Linked DNA regions of Caenorhabditis elegans. The protein of the gene in region 2 purifies or fractionates together with the protein of the main gene of each other region. This does not show direct contact. Each region holds a gene or a part of one and is shown on either strand. Other genes may lie near its edges.

Evidence for each region. Proteins that work in one complex are often made in the same cells at the same time.
Region 1: the proteins of lpr-3 (region 2) and spig-1 fractionate together in Caenorhabditis elegans (co-fractionation; one large-scale study listed by BioGRID). This does not show direct contact.

What each region holds. Positions count from the first base shown.
Region 1 is NC_003283.11:7,049,805-7,053,709, forward strand, and holds spig-1 (DUF4473 domain-containing protein), read left to right. Parts: upstream 1-1,910; 5' UTR 1,911-1,923; coding exon 1,924-1,987; intron 1,988-2,037; coding exon 2,038-2,315; 3' UTR 2,316-2,375; downstream 2,376-3,905. Other genes in the region: tofu-2 (Schlafen-like protein 2), read right to left, coding at 20-217, 266-362, 405-472, 519-967, 1,024-1,252, 1,421-1,423; txt-17 (transcellular chaperone signaling (x)cross tissue), read right to left, coding at 2,994-3,268, 3,321-3,393.
Region 2 is NC_003284.9:11,054,827-11,061,521, forward strand, and holds lpr-3 (Lipocalin domain-containing protein), read left to right. Parts: upstream 1-2,574; 5' UTR 2,575-2,681; coding exon 2,682-2,807; intron 2,808-2,861; coding exon 2,862-3,270; intron 3,271-3,337; coding exon 3,338-3,514; intron 3,515-3,566; coding exon 3,567-4,121; intron 4,122-4,174; coding exon 4,175-4,345; intron 4,346-4,397; coding exon 4,398-4,543; intron 4,544-4,592; coding exon 4,593-4,718; 3' UTR 4,719-4,967; downstream 4,968-6,695. Other genes in the region: C09F12.2 (Glycosyltransferase 2-like domain-containing protein), read left to right, coding at 113-244, 293-463, 515-605, 657-1,148, 1,238-1,443, 1,497-1,646, 1,701-1,817, 1,872-1,973; lpr-6 (LiPocalin-Related protein), read left to right, coding at 5,168-5,377, 5,563-5,737, 5,824-5,985, 6,028-6,164, 6,432-6,565, 6,615-6,695.

The sequences.
Region 1 (3,905 bases), on a different chromosome or scaffold from region 2:
TTAATCGTAAAACACGTACGAATGATCCGCCAACACTGTGGCAGGCGAGCTTCGGGAAATCATGAGCTTCTTCTTTGAGCAAATCCGCTTTTCTCAGCTTAACTTTTATCACTCCCACCGGGATAACTTCGAGAATGGAGACTTTGATACGACATAGCGGACTGCATGGTTTAAAATTTTCACACATGTGTCGCAGAGAACCGAAGAAATGGTATATCTGAAAATCCAACTAGCTAATTGTGCGTTTTTATTATTAAAAACTAGCCATGTTCTTGCTCATCGAAATTCCTTTAATAACTTTATCATCGTTGACACCCAGAAAAAGCCGTCCACCGTCAGTGTTCAGAAATGCGCAAATTGTTCTGAAATCTATATTTATTTTTTGGCTCCAGAAACACCCATACTTGCTGATCGGCTGAAGAGTTCTTCGAATAGATCCATCCTTGTCCTGCTTGCATTGAGTCCTCTTTAGCTGTAAATTGAAAATTCAAAAACCTTTATTTTCCACTTTAAATTACTTCAGTGAGCATCAGTTTGGTATGCATTCTGAACTCATTATGAACATCTTCTTCTACTGCAAACGGTAGTTTCACCACTACATGTTCGAATGAGTTTTGCTCCTCATAGCTCCACCAATTCACATTTTCATTTGGAGCATCGGAAACCGCAGTAAACTGATTTCCCGGGGGAAATTTGAACGGTTGAGATCCAAAGTTGACTGAGAGGCTTGAGTTTTGACATAAGACCGCCGGGAAGAGACACGTGTTCGAGTTTTTGTATTTCACATCGATGGAAAAAGCGGCGGGAAATTGTTCTCCATTTTTTGACCACCAGATGGTACGGGAATCCAGGTCAAGATAGCAACCGATCACATCGTTCAGAGTGAATGGGAGACCATAATCATCGAACTTTTTGTGGGTTGACTTCATTCCAGTCCCACCATAACCGAAACTATCCAGTCCTTTACCTGGAACATTTTAATTGGAATAAAGAATAATTTTGCACAATGCAAAAAAGTATTACCAATATTCAAACTTCCACCGAGAGTAGCCCAGCCAACTCTGCACAGTCCTTTACTTGTAATTGTAACTTCATAGTAATACTTTCCATTTCCATATAATCCGGCTGTTCCACGTGCTCCGAGCCATCTTTTCTTCACTTCACTTTTGCAGGCTAATCCAGTTTCATCAATTTCGAGATGAAGATCTTGATCCTGCTTGTTCAGTTTGGATTCACGTGGACTTGTGTCGGCCTGAAAAATAATATGTAGCATTAAACAGCACACCGGAATTTTTTGTTGAATATATTTATTTTAACTAATAGTGAGATTTAAAAATGCTAAAATTAGCGGAATATTAGAAGAGAAACTTTTAAAAAACTATAAATTTATTTTCTGATTCTAAAAATATTTAAAACTTACCATTTTTCAATGACCAGGCACGGAAGAGTTGAAATTTTAATTACGAAAATTAAAAAAAAATTATCTCGCGAAAAATGCACAACGATGCTCCATCGTTACGCGGCGCGTGTTGTTTAGCCGATAGAAAATGGAGGGAATTTCAAATAAATTTTTTGATGAAAAAATTATTTTCATACCACAAAAAATATTAAAACATCAGATTTAACAGAAAGTTCAGTTACACATTTTTTGAAAAGTTCGAAACTGAAATCGTTTGATCCTCCGCAATTGATGCGAATGTCTATGAATTGAACTGTTGGGCAACAAATCATAAACTGAAAAAACCATGTTGTAGTGAGAGTGTGTGTAGTCCAATTCAATATTCAAACCGGATTTTAGAACCAATCGTTTTTGTGTCAAATGTGCCTTGCCACTAATCACCACTACGTGTCGTCACAATTCGATTCGTATAAATAGTCGACAGGTTGTAGTAATTTCAATTCAATTCACTTCCAACTTTCAAAATGTGCAAACTTTTCGTCGCCGTTGCCCTTCTCGCTGTCGTTTATGCTCATCAAATGCCATCAGGTAGAAGTTTTTCATTTCAACGTTCTTCTTAAAACCCTTATAATTTTAAGCTGATGAGATGAAGGCCAAGCTCGTTGAGGGTGGAGTCTCCGAGGCTGCTGCCGCTGGACTCGTTGAAATCGGAGATAAGTACAAGAGCCAATTCCAGGCTCTCACCAAGGGAGATCATGAAGCTGGAAAGAAAGTTTTCGATAGCATGAAGTCCGAGTCTGATGCCTACATCGCCACCCAATCTGAAGCTGATCAGACCGCTTACAAAGCATTCGTTGAGAAGGCCAAGGAGCACTTCCAAGCTCACAAGGAAGCTGCTGCTGCCGAAAGTGCTTAAATATCAATTTTTTTGAATATGGAACCATTTTTTATTTGAAAATAAAACTTTAATTTCGCGAATCATTCCATATGTGCTTCATCCAGACATAAGACTACAGTAACGGGTGAAATATCGAGAACAACCCAATCTTTTTCCCTTGTTTTAAAAACCTACCTACCTACCTATCTACCTACCTACTTACTCTATCTATCTATGTAAACGTATTAAATAATAATAATAGTAATAATAATGATACTAAGCTATTCCATGTTCCTAATTTTGCTAATAGCTCAGACTTAAAACGATAAATAGCTGGAATAATAGTTACAGAAGCGAAAATAATATCAAGTTTCAACCTGGTATTTATTAACACAGGGTGGGCGTCATTGCAGGCACCAACAGGTCTACAAGTTACCTTCAGGTCAATAATAACTGGACTTGAAATAGATGTATCATTACCGTGTTATGCTCCGGCCCGAATAAACGTTTTTTCACGGTTTGTCAAAATGTACTTCTCCTTCGCGGCGATCAGGGTTTGTCTTTTAGGCATGTAGGTAGGCATGCTTTTCTTATGGCAGGTTCTAATTTTTACAAGAGACTTGTCAACATTTCAAACAGAAAATTCGATTCATTCAATACAAAAAGTCAAGGGAAAATGTATATATGTGCATTTCGAGCAACAACATCAGAAAATATTTAGTGAGCTGGAGTAGAGTGGTGTCCCTCGAATTCCTTCTTCTTAGACTCGATATAGGTGGCATAAGCTTTCTGATCAGCTTCTGGTTGAGTCTTGATGTAGGCATCCGTGTCAGTCTTGATCTCCTCGAAAACCTTCTTTATTGCTTCCTTATCGTCCTTGTTATCCTTGAGAGCTTCGAGTTGAGTCTTGTACTTCTCGGCAACCTCGACGATTCCTGCGGCAGAAGTCTCCGAGAGCCCAGCGGCGACAAGTTGAGCTTTCACCTCCTCGGCTGAAAATCAGATTCAGAGTTTTTCAAAGTTCAAAATATAAAAATTTCCTACCACTTGGTGGTACTGGTGGAGCAGCATAGATGGCAACAGCGAGAAGTGCAACGGCGACGAAGAGTTTGCACATTTTCTGAACAAATATTAATTTTTTATTTTGATGAGATACAGAAAGAAGATGCTTGCGAAAAGAACATATGAAACCAAACTTAAAAAATGATGATGTTATTTTCAGAGCTATCAGCACGGTTTTTATACATCCAAATTGAGATCGGTTCTAGGCGGAGACACATAACTGGTTTGTAATTTGTTACGCTTTCGAATTGAAAAAATATCCGTGCCTGTGGTTCTCTACGGCAATTATCTAGAGGGGAATAGTTCGAAAACAGGGAAAACGGTTAGATATTTTGATGTCTATCGGGTTATGGCACAACGTTTATCTCGAAGTGTTTTCGGAAAGTGTGAATCACGAGAATGACGTTTTATAGTATTCAATCAACATGAAAATTTTAATAATTGAAACCCGTAGTTCTACATATATTTAGCTTAATATTTTCGATAGGACCTAATTGTAAGAAATGTAAAAAGAGCTCCCGTTTTGTTACAAGGAGATTCTATTTAGTTTTCAATAGACGTCAACAG
Region 2 (6,695 bases):
TTTCAACTCAAAAATTGTTATGGTGGCCTAGTCCAACATATGCTTTCAAATCTCATGTGTCTCAATTGGAAGTTTTGATTTTCTAGTCGTGTTTAAACCGTTCAATGTTTAGGATTTTGCCCTTGAAATTGTGACGATCATCTCAATAATTCTCCACTGCCTTTGGATTATTGCAATTATCAATGCACTAAGGTACACATGGCGATTGAGAAGATTTGCATCTCATGAAATTAGACTCGACCTGGTGAGCCAATCTGGATAGGCAATTTGAATTCCATTGAATACATTTTAGGTCAAGAATGAAGCAGGTCTAAAAATGAAGCATTTAGTTGGGCTTTGTGTCTATAAAGAACCATTAGATTTGCTTATGGATACAATCGAGAGTATAGCTTCTCAACCAAATGCGAAGGAAAAGATCACTTGTCTTGTTGGAATGGAAGGAGGAACTCCGGACAAAGAAGAGGTGGGTGTTTTTTCCAATGAATCACTTTTCAAACGGTGCTCTTTTATTTAGAAAAAGCGCATTCTGGACAACAAATATGGGCCAAAGTTCGAGCGGTTCATTGTCACATTCCACCCACGTGGACTGCCGGGAGACATTCCAGGTAAATAAAACCGAATCAGAGAAAAATGCCAACGTTTGTTTGATTTTCCAGGCAAATGTTCGAATTTCAACTACGCGGCTAGGACAGCGGTCAAAATGTTGAGAGCCGACAAAAACTATCCATTAGAAGAGTATGATAACAATGTCGAACTGATTGTTACCACTGGAGACTGTGACAGTGTTTTCGGAGATAGATACTTTGATGCTTTAGAAGAAGACTATTGGAAAATTTCTGCAAAGCAAAGATCCTATACTGTCTGGCAATCTCCATTGTTTTATTGCATCAACTTAGACCAATCGCCATTTTTCGTCAGAATAACTGGTCTTCTGCGAGCATTTTTCATGATGGGATACCTTATTCCATGGAATATCAACACCATGAGCATTTTCTCACTCACATTGAAGCTTTTCGAGGAGGGAGAATACACTCACCCAGGATATCAAATGGACGATATCATTGCTCTCATTAGATGGTCATTGGCTGTGAGAAGAAAATGTGTGATCAGAGCGATCCCTGTTGCCACCTTGTCTGGACCCACCAGCGGTGAGTATTCTGGAAAAAATATGATTTGTATTTATATATTTAGTTTGCTTCCCAAATTTTAATTTTAAATTTATATCCTTTTTTTTTAGGAAAGAACTATATCGACGAATGGTACGAGTGGGCACGACAGATCAGACGCTGGACCATTGGAGCTGCTGAAGTCTTCCATTATTTTGCCATCAAATTTTTCCGTCTTCCGGTTACAGTTTCTATTTCATTCGCCGCAAAATTTGTGTTTTACTATGGGTTTCTTCTTTGTATTGCTTCAATTTACACTTTAATCGCGCCTATTGTGGTAAGACATCATCTTATTTTCCAACATATCTTAATGGAAGATATAAAATTCAGACCCCTGCTATGCTAAATGCAGTCGACCATGGCGTTAACGGGCTTGTCATTCCAAACAACAAATGTTTCATGATCATCATGTTCGGCTTCCTGGGTCTCCAGTACATCTGGTTCTTTACGGTTTTCCTGGTTAACTACCTTTGCCAACCGGTAATATCCTCATACTTCATAATGACCTCTCTCAAAAATAATTACTTTGTTTAGGTGTTCCCCAGACAAACTAAGGACAAAACGGGAATCATCCGCAACATTTTCCACTGGCTGATGACCTGGCCCACCCTGATTATGTACTGTTGTGTCGAATTAGTCGCATTTCTAGAGGTAAGTACTTCCGTTCCTATTCAGTAGTTTACATAATTATCATTCGTTTTGAAGGTTACGGTTCGCGGTAAATCTGTCTGTTCGCATAATGCTTCGAAGAAAGACAATCTCGTTGCGCCAGTACCCAGCAAACAACCTGACCGAATGGAAGTGTGAATTGATGCAATCAACAAAATTTATGAATCAATGCGAATTTGTATTTCCGATTTCTCAAGAATTTTATTGTGTACCATAAAGTAGCGGGTTTTAGTTACACTAGTCAATTTTTACATCAAATTATGAATTCTCTCATGCATTTCCAATTTCATTTTCATATAATAAAGCATTTTGTCTGTATCTGTTATAGCATTCAAAATAATTAGAACTCCAGTTTGAATTAAAAATAATAGTATATAACATCATTGTACTCTTGTGGTAGGTAATTGTTTAAATGTGTCACGTCAATCATGATGGCCCTATAGAAAACGCTAGTTTTTCTGTTATCTGATCGTGTTCCAACTGGCACGGAATTTCTCATTCTCTAGCCACAACCGTGTGACGAGCGGATCAATTCCGCGCGCTGTGTCATCGTCATGGACGCACAATAGCTTCTTATCAGCATCGCGTAAACGCAAAACCTTCTGGACGACGCGTTGACCTGGCCCAATTTCGATTGGACAACCGGGATGAAGGCGAATAGCAATCGACGGGAAAGGTGGGAAGAGAGAGCGCAGAGAAATTGAGAGTAGTGAAAGGACAATATCGGAGGGGGTACTTCTTGTCTTGATTCAACTAGGTCGGAGAGAGGTGTATATCGGGAACCCTCCCACATTGTCGTTAGTCGATTTGCATCCATCCACACTCATTGGCTTCTGCACACCAGTGATGCGTTCGCTTATTTGGATTTTGGCTACGACGTTAGCTGTGGCACTAGGCGCTATTAGCGAAGCAGACGTACCTGTAGTAATTCATCTCCCAGCACAACACCACCGTCCAAGATTTTTAGGACAGGTAACTTTTTTTTTCATATTTTTTTAGCCCATTTGTCAATTAAATATCGTTTAGGTTGTCCCACCACGTGCTGTTAATGCGGCCCCACGCGCCCCAGCCCCAACTATTGCCCAAGAAAAGGCTATCGCCGTTCCACAACCACAACAACCAATTGCCCTCCCACCAGCACCACCAGCAGCGCAACAACCAGTGTTGCCAGTGACCAATGGAGATCAATCATTTGCTCCAAGAGTTGGAGCCGCCATTCCACCACCTCCACCAGTCAATATTCCAACTGATGTTCAAAACCAGCTTATCAAATTCTTTGGACTTGACTCGTTTGGAATTCCAGGACTTACTGGCAACCATCCAGAAGGATTCGCTGGAGCCGTACAAGAGATGAGAGCTGCCGGAATTCCAGTTCCAGGAATTCCAGCCGAACAGGTTAACCCAGAAGCTGCCGGAGTCAAGACCGTTACCGATGGTTAGTTTTTATGTTCTAAAATGTTAAATTTAACAAAAACAATTCTAAAATTCTAATTTTTTTTCAGATGTTCTTGCACAAGCCAATCCAAATTTCCAAGACCAACTTTCCCAAATTCAAAACGCTGTAAACAATCCAGGACCATACAAGGGAGGAGCAAATGTTCCACTTCCAGCTGAGCAACCAGGAGAGAATGGTCTTATCGGACTTCTATCTAACTCTATCAGAAAGGTCATCAAGGAGAGTGAGTGGAAATTTATAGGTATTCTATCGACACGTCATACGTTTTGTTTCAGCCGGAGTGAGCGATGCCCTCTCCAACTCTCTTCCAAACCTTCTTGGATCTGGATCAGGAGCTGATTCATCATCTGCCCCAGCTGCATCATCCAACATTCGTCGTGCCCCACAAGCCGCAGCTTCATTCGATGACGCTGTTGCTACTGTTTCTGCATCTGCTGCATCATCTTCTAACATTCGCAGACAACCATCTGCTGCTCAAAGAGCCCTTTCTGGTTTTGCGGCCGCTCTCGGAGGAGGAGGCAACAACTCTCCAACTCATGCAGGACTCCCAAGAATTCCAGGAATCCCACTTCTTCCAGGAGGTATCCCAAGAAACTCTCAAGGACAAATTGACATCGTTAGTCTGATCGGATCAGTTACCAAGCGTGTATCTAACGGAACCACCCTTTCTGAGCTTCTCCCACCAGAGAGACTCCAAACTCTCGCTGACAATGTCACTGATGCTCTTCTCCCAGAAACACCAACTGTCGATCTTTCCAAATTCATGGGAAGATGGTTTGAGGGAATTAACTCTCCAAGAGCCACCGAACAAAGATGCGTTGTTCATCATTGTGAGTACAGTTGTTTGTAAAAAAGGAATATTTGTTTAAATCAAAAATTTCAGACGGAGGACTTACCCGCAATGACAAAACCGCCACTTTCACCGCTCTCAAGGTTTACAGAGAAGGATCTGAGTTTGGACCAGTCAAGTATTCTCTTGGGTATGCTTTCCGTGGAGGAAACAAAGATGCCATGCTCCAACTTCACTCTTCTGAAACAAGTGACGCTCAACCATGTATGTTTATTTCTTCCTCATTTTCAATAGGCACCTAATCCATCATTTTTAGTCTGGATTTACAAACTTGGACCAGAGGGAAAGAACTCATTCGGAGACTCCCAATACGAGTACGCTATCATCTCCAATTGGGTCAAATATCCAGTTACTGTTTTGGTTCGCGACCCTGATACTTTCAAGACCAAATACCAGAAAGAGGCAAGTCAGAAAATACATGACACTTATAAATGATAAATATAACTTTCAGGTTCTCCGTTGGCTTGAAGACCAAGGATTCATCAACGGATTTATCAGAGCATTCAACCTTCTCCAACCAGCTGGATACTCAACCTGTCAATACGCAGACTCGACTTTTGAAGTTTTCGGAAAGTAAATCCAACCACAGTCAACGAGTACATTGGGCCCTCAGTCGCACCCACCAAATTAATTTTTACTGAAAAATCTCTTAAATGACCTCTTTCTCCTTCTCACTTTTATTGCCTATTTTTTCGCCAAACATTCCCGCATCAGTTTGCAATTACTTGTTGTTGTACAGTTCTTAATAATTGCATTATAAATTTAATAACTCTTTAATAATATAAGAACCCGCATAATAAAAATTCGTAATAAACATTTCTTTCCATATATTATACTGCAATTCACAAATCCATTTACAACGCATTGAACCCCACTTAAAAAGGGTGAAGGTTACAAGTACACCGTGCCCTAATTACTCACGTAATGTAGGTAAATTGTGGTTTACTGCTTGATGAGACAGTTTCACATGAAACATGGAACACACAGGCACCGAAAATGAAGAGAAGAGGGGGAGCTTGAAGATTAATGGGCGGGGTTCAGGTTATGAAGGTCGAGGAAGAGAAAGGAGAAGGCGTCCATCGCAACAGCCAGCAACTGCAGCAGTCACTTCTGTTCACTACATATACGGTCAATATTCTAGTAGTGACCGGTGTCTTTCTAAAAATAATGTGGTCTCGAAATGTTGCACTGGTCTTCTGTCTCCTTGGTGGAGTTACCGCTATTGGAGAAAATGCGGTAAGTATCCCTTAAAACAACAAACTAGTCGAATTTTTCGGATTCAAATTCAATTTAATTAAATAAGATACAGAACATTGGAAATTATCTTTCTTTTGTTAAATGACATTTGTAATTTATGATATTTAGTAACTTACGTCAAGTTTTGAATATGTGTCAGCATAATATTAAAAATTGTAATTCAGATGGATTTCCAAGCCATTACTGGTATTCTTGGAGGAATTGGAAAAATGCTCGAAAGCAAAATTGACACCATCAATGTCCCTGCGGAGATGGTTATGGGAAAATGGTTCCAGATGTACAAGGCTGCTATGAACTTTGATGTTGTCCGCACCACAATGTTCTGCCCAGTTGCTTATTGTAAGTTTATCTTTCTAAAGTCTCAAAAACATGTTTTTGAACCTGTTCGAATCATAAACTAAGCTCAAATAACAAGTAACTTGCAGTCTCTCCTAATCCGATAATGGGTGAAGAAGGATTCTCGATGCAAGAAGCTTACAGAGTGGTTTCAAAAACTGGACCAATTGAGACTTACAAAAGAGACATGAACAAAGTTGGACCAGGACAATACTGGATGTACACTGAAGAGTACTTCTACCCAAGACAATGTGAGCGAAAAACATTTAATTTTGACTAAACTTGCTTTTCAGTTTACATTATCGGAGCTGGACCATCTTTCAATAATGGCACCAGAAATTCTACCGAGCCACTCCAATACTTGATTGCTTCTGATGCTAACCGACTTTCCCTCATGGTTTATGCTAGAGATCCTCTTGTATTTTTCCAGGTCAGTTGCGAAACATCAAGCGTTGCGGCGCGTGTTTTTTGTTTTTACTCTCCTGTAGGGCGCACTAGTGAGATTGATGAACACAGTGATTGACAGGAGGCGAGAATTGGGTTAGCTTATCAACATCGGTTGACCTTATTTTGAATTATTTCTCCGATTACAATCCGTGTCTATTGGATTATGGAATTTGGGATTCAGAAATCGGGAAAGAAAAAAAGCGAAAGTGACAATTGTCTGACATATTTGCAAACATAACATCATTTACAGAAGTACAACAAGGAGGTTGTTGAGTTCATGAATGGACACGGATTTGGAGGAAATGTCTTCTGGAACAGCCCAAAGCCAATTTACCAAGGACCAGACTGCGAATGGCCTTCTGAAAAGGAGGTCTTTGCCAGAAGGTAATGTAATTTACTCATGTAACAGACAGAAAATATAGTTTATTTTCAGAGTTTTGAAAAACCAAGAAATGAACGAGCGCAACAAGAATGGAACTTCAGACCCAATTCTTTCCGGAATGCCACTTGCCGA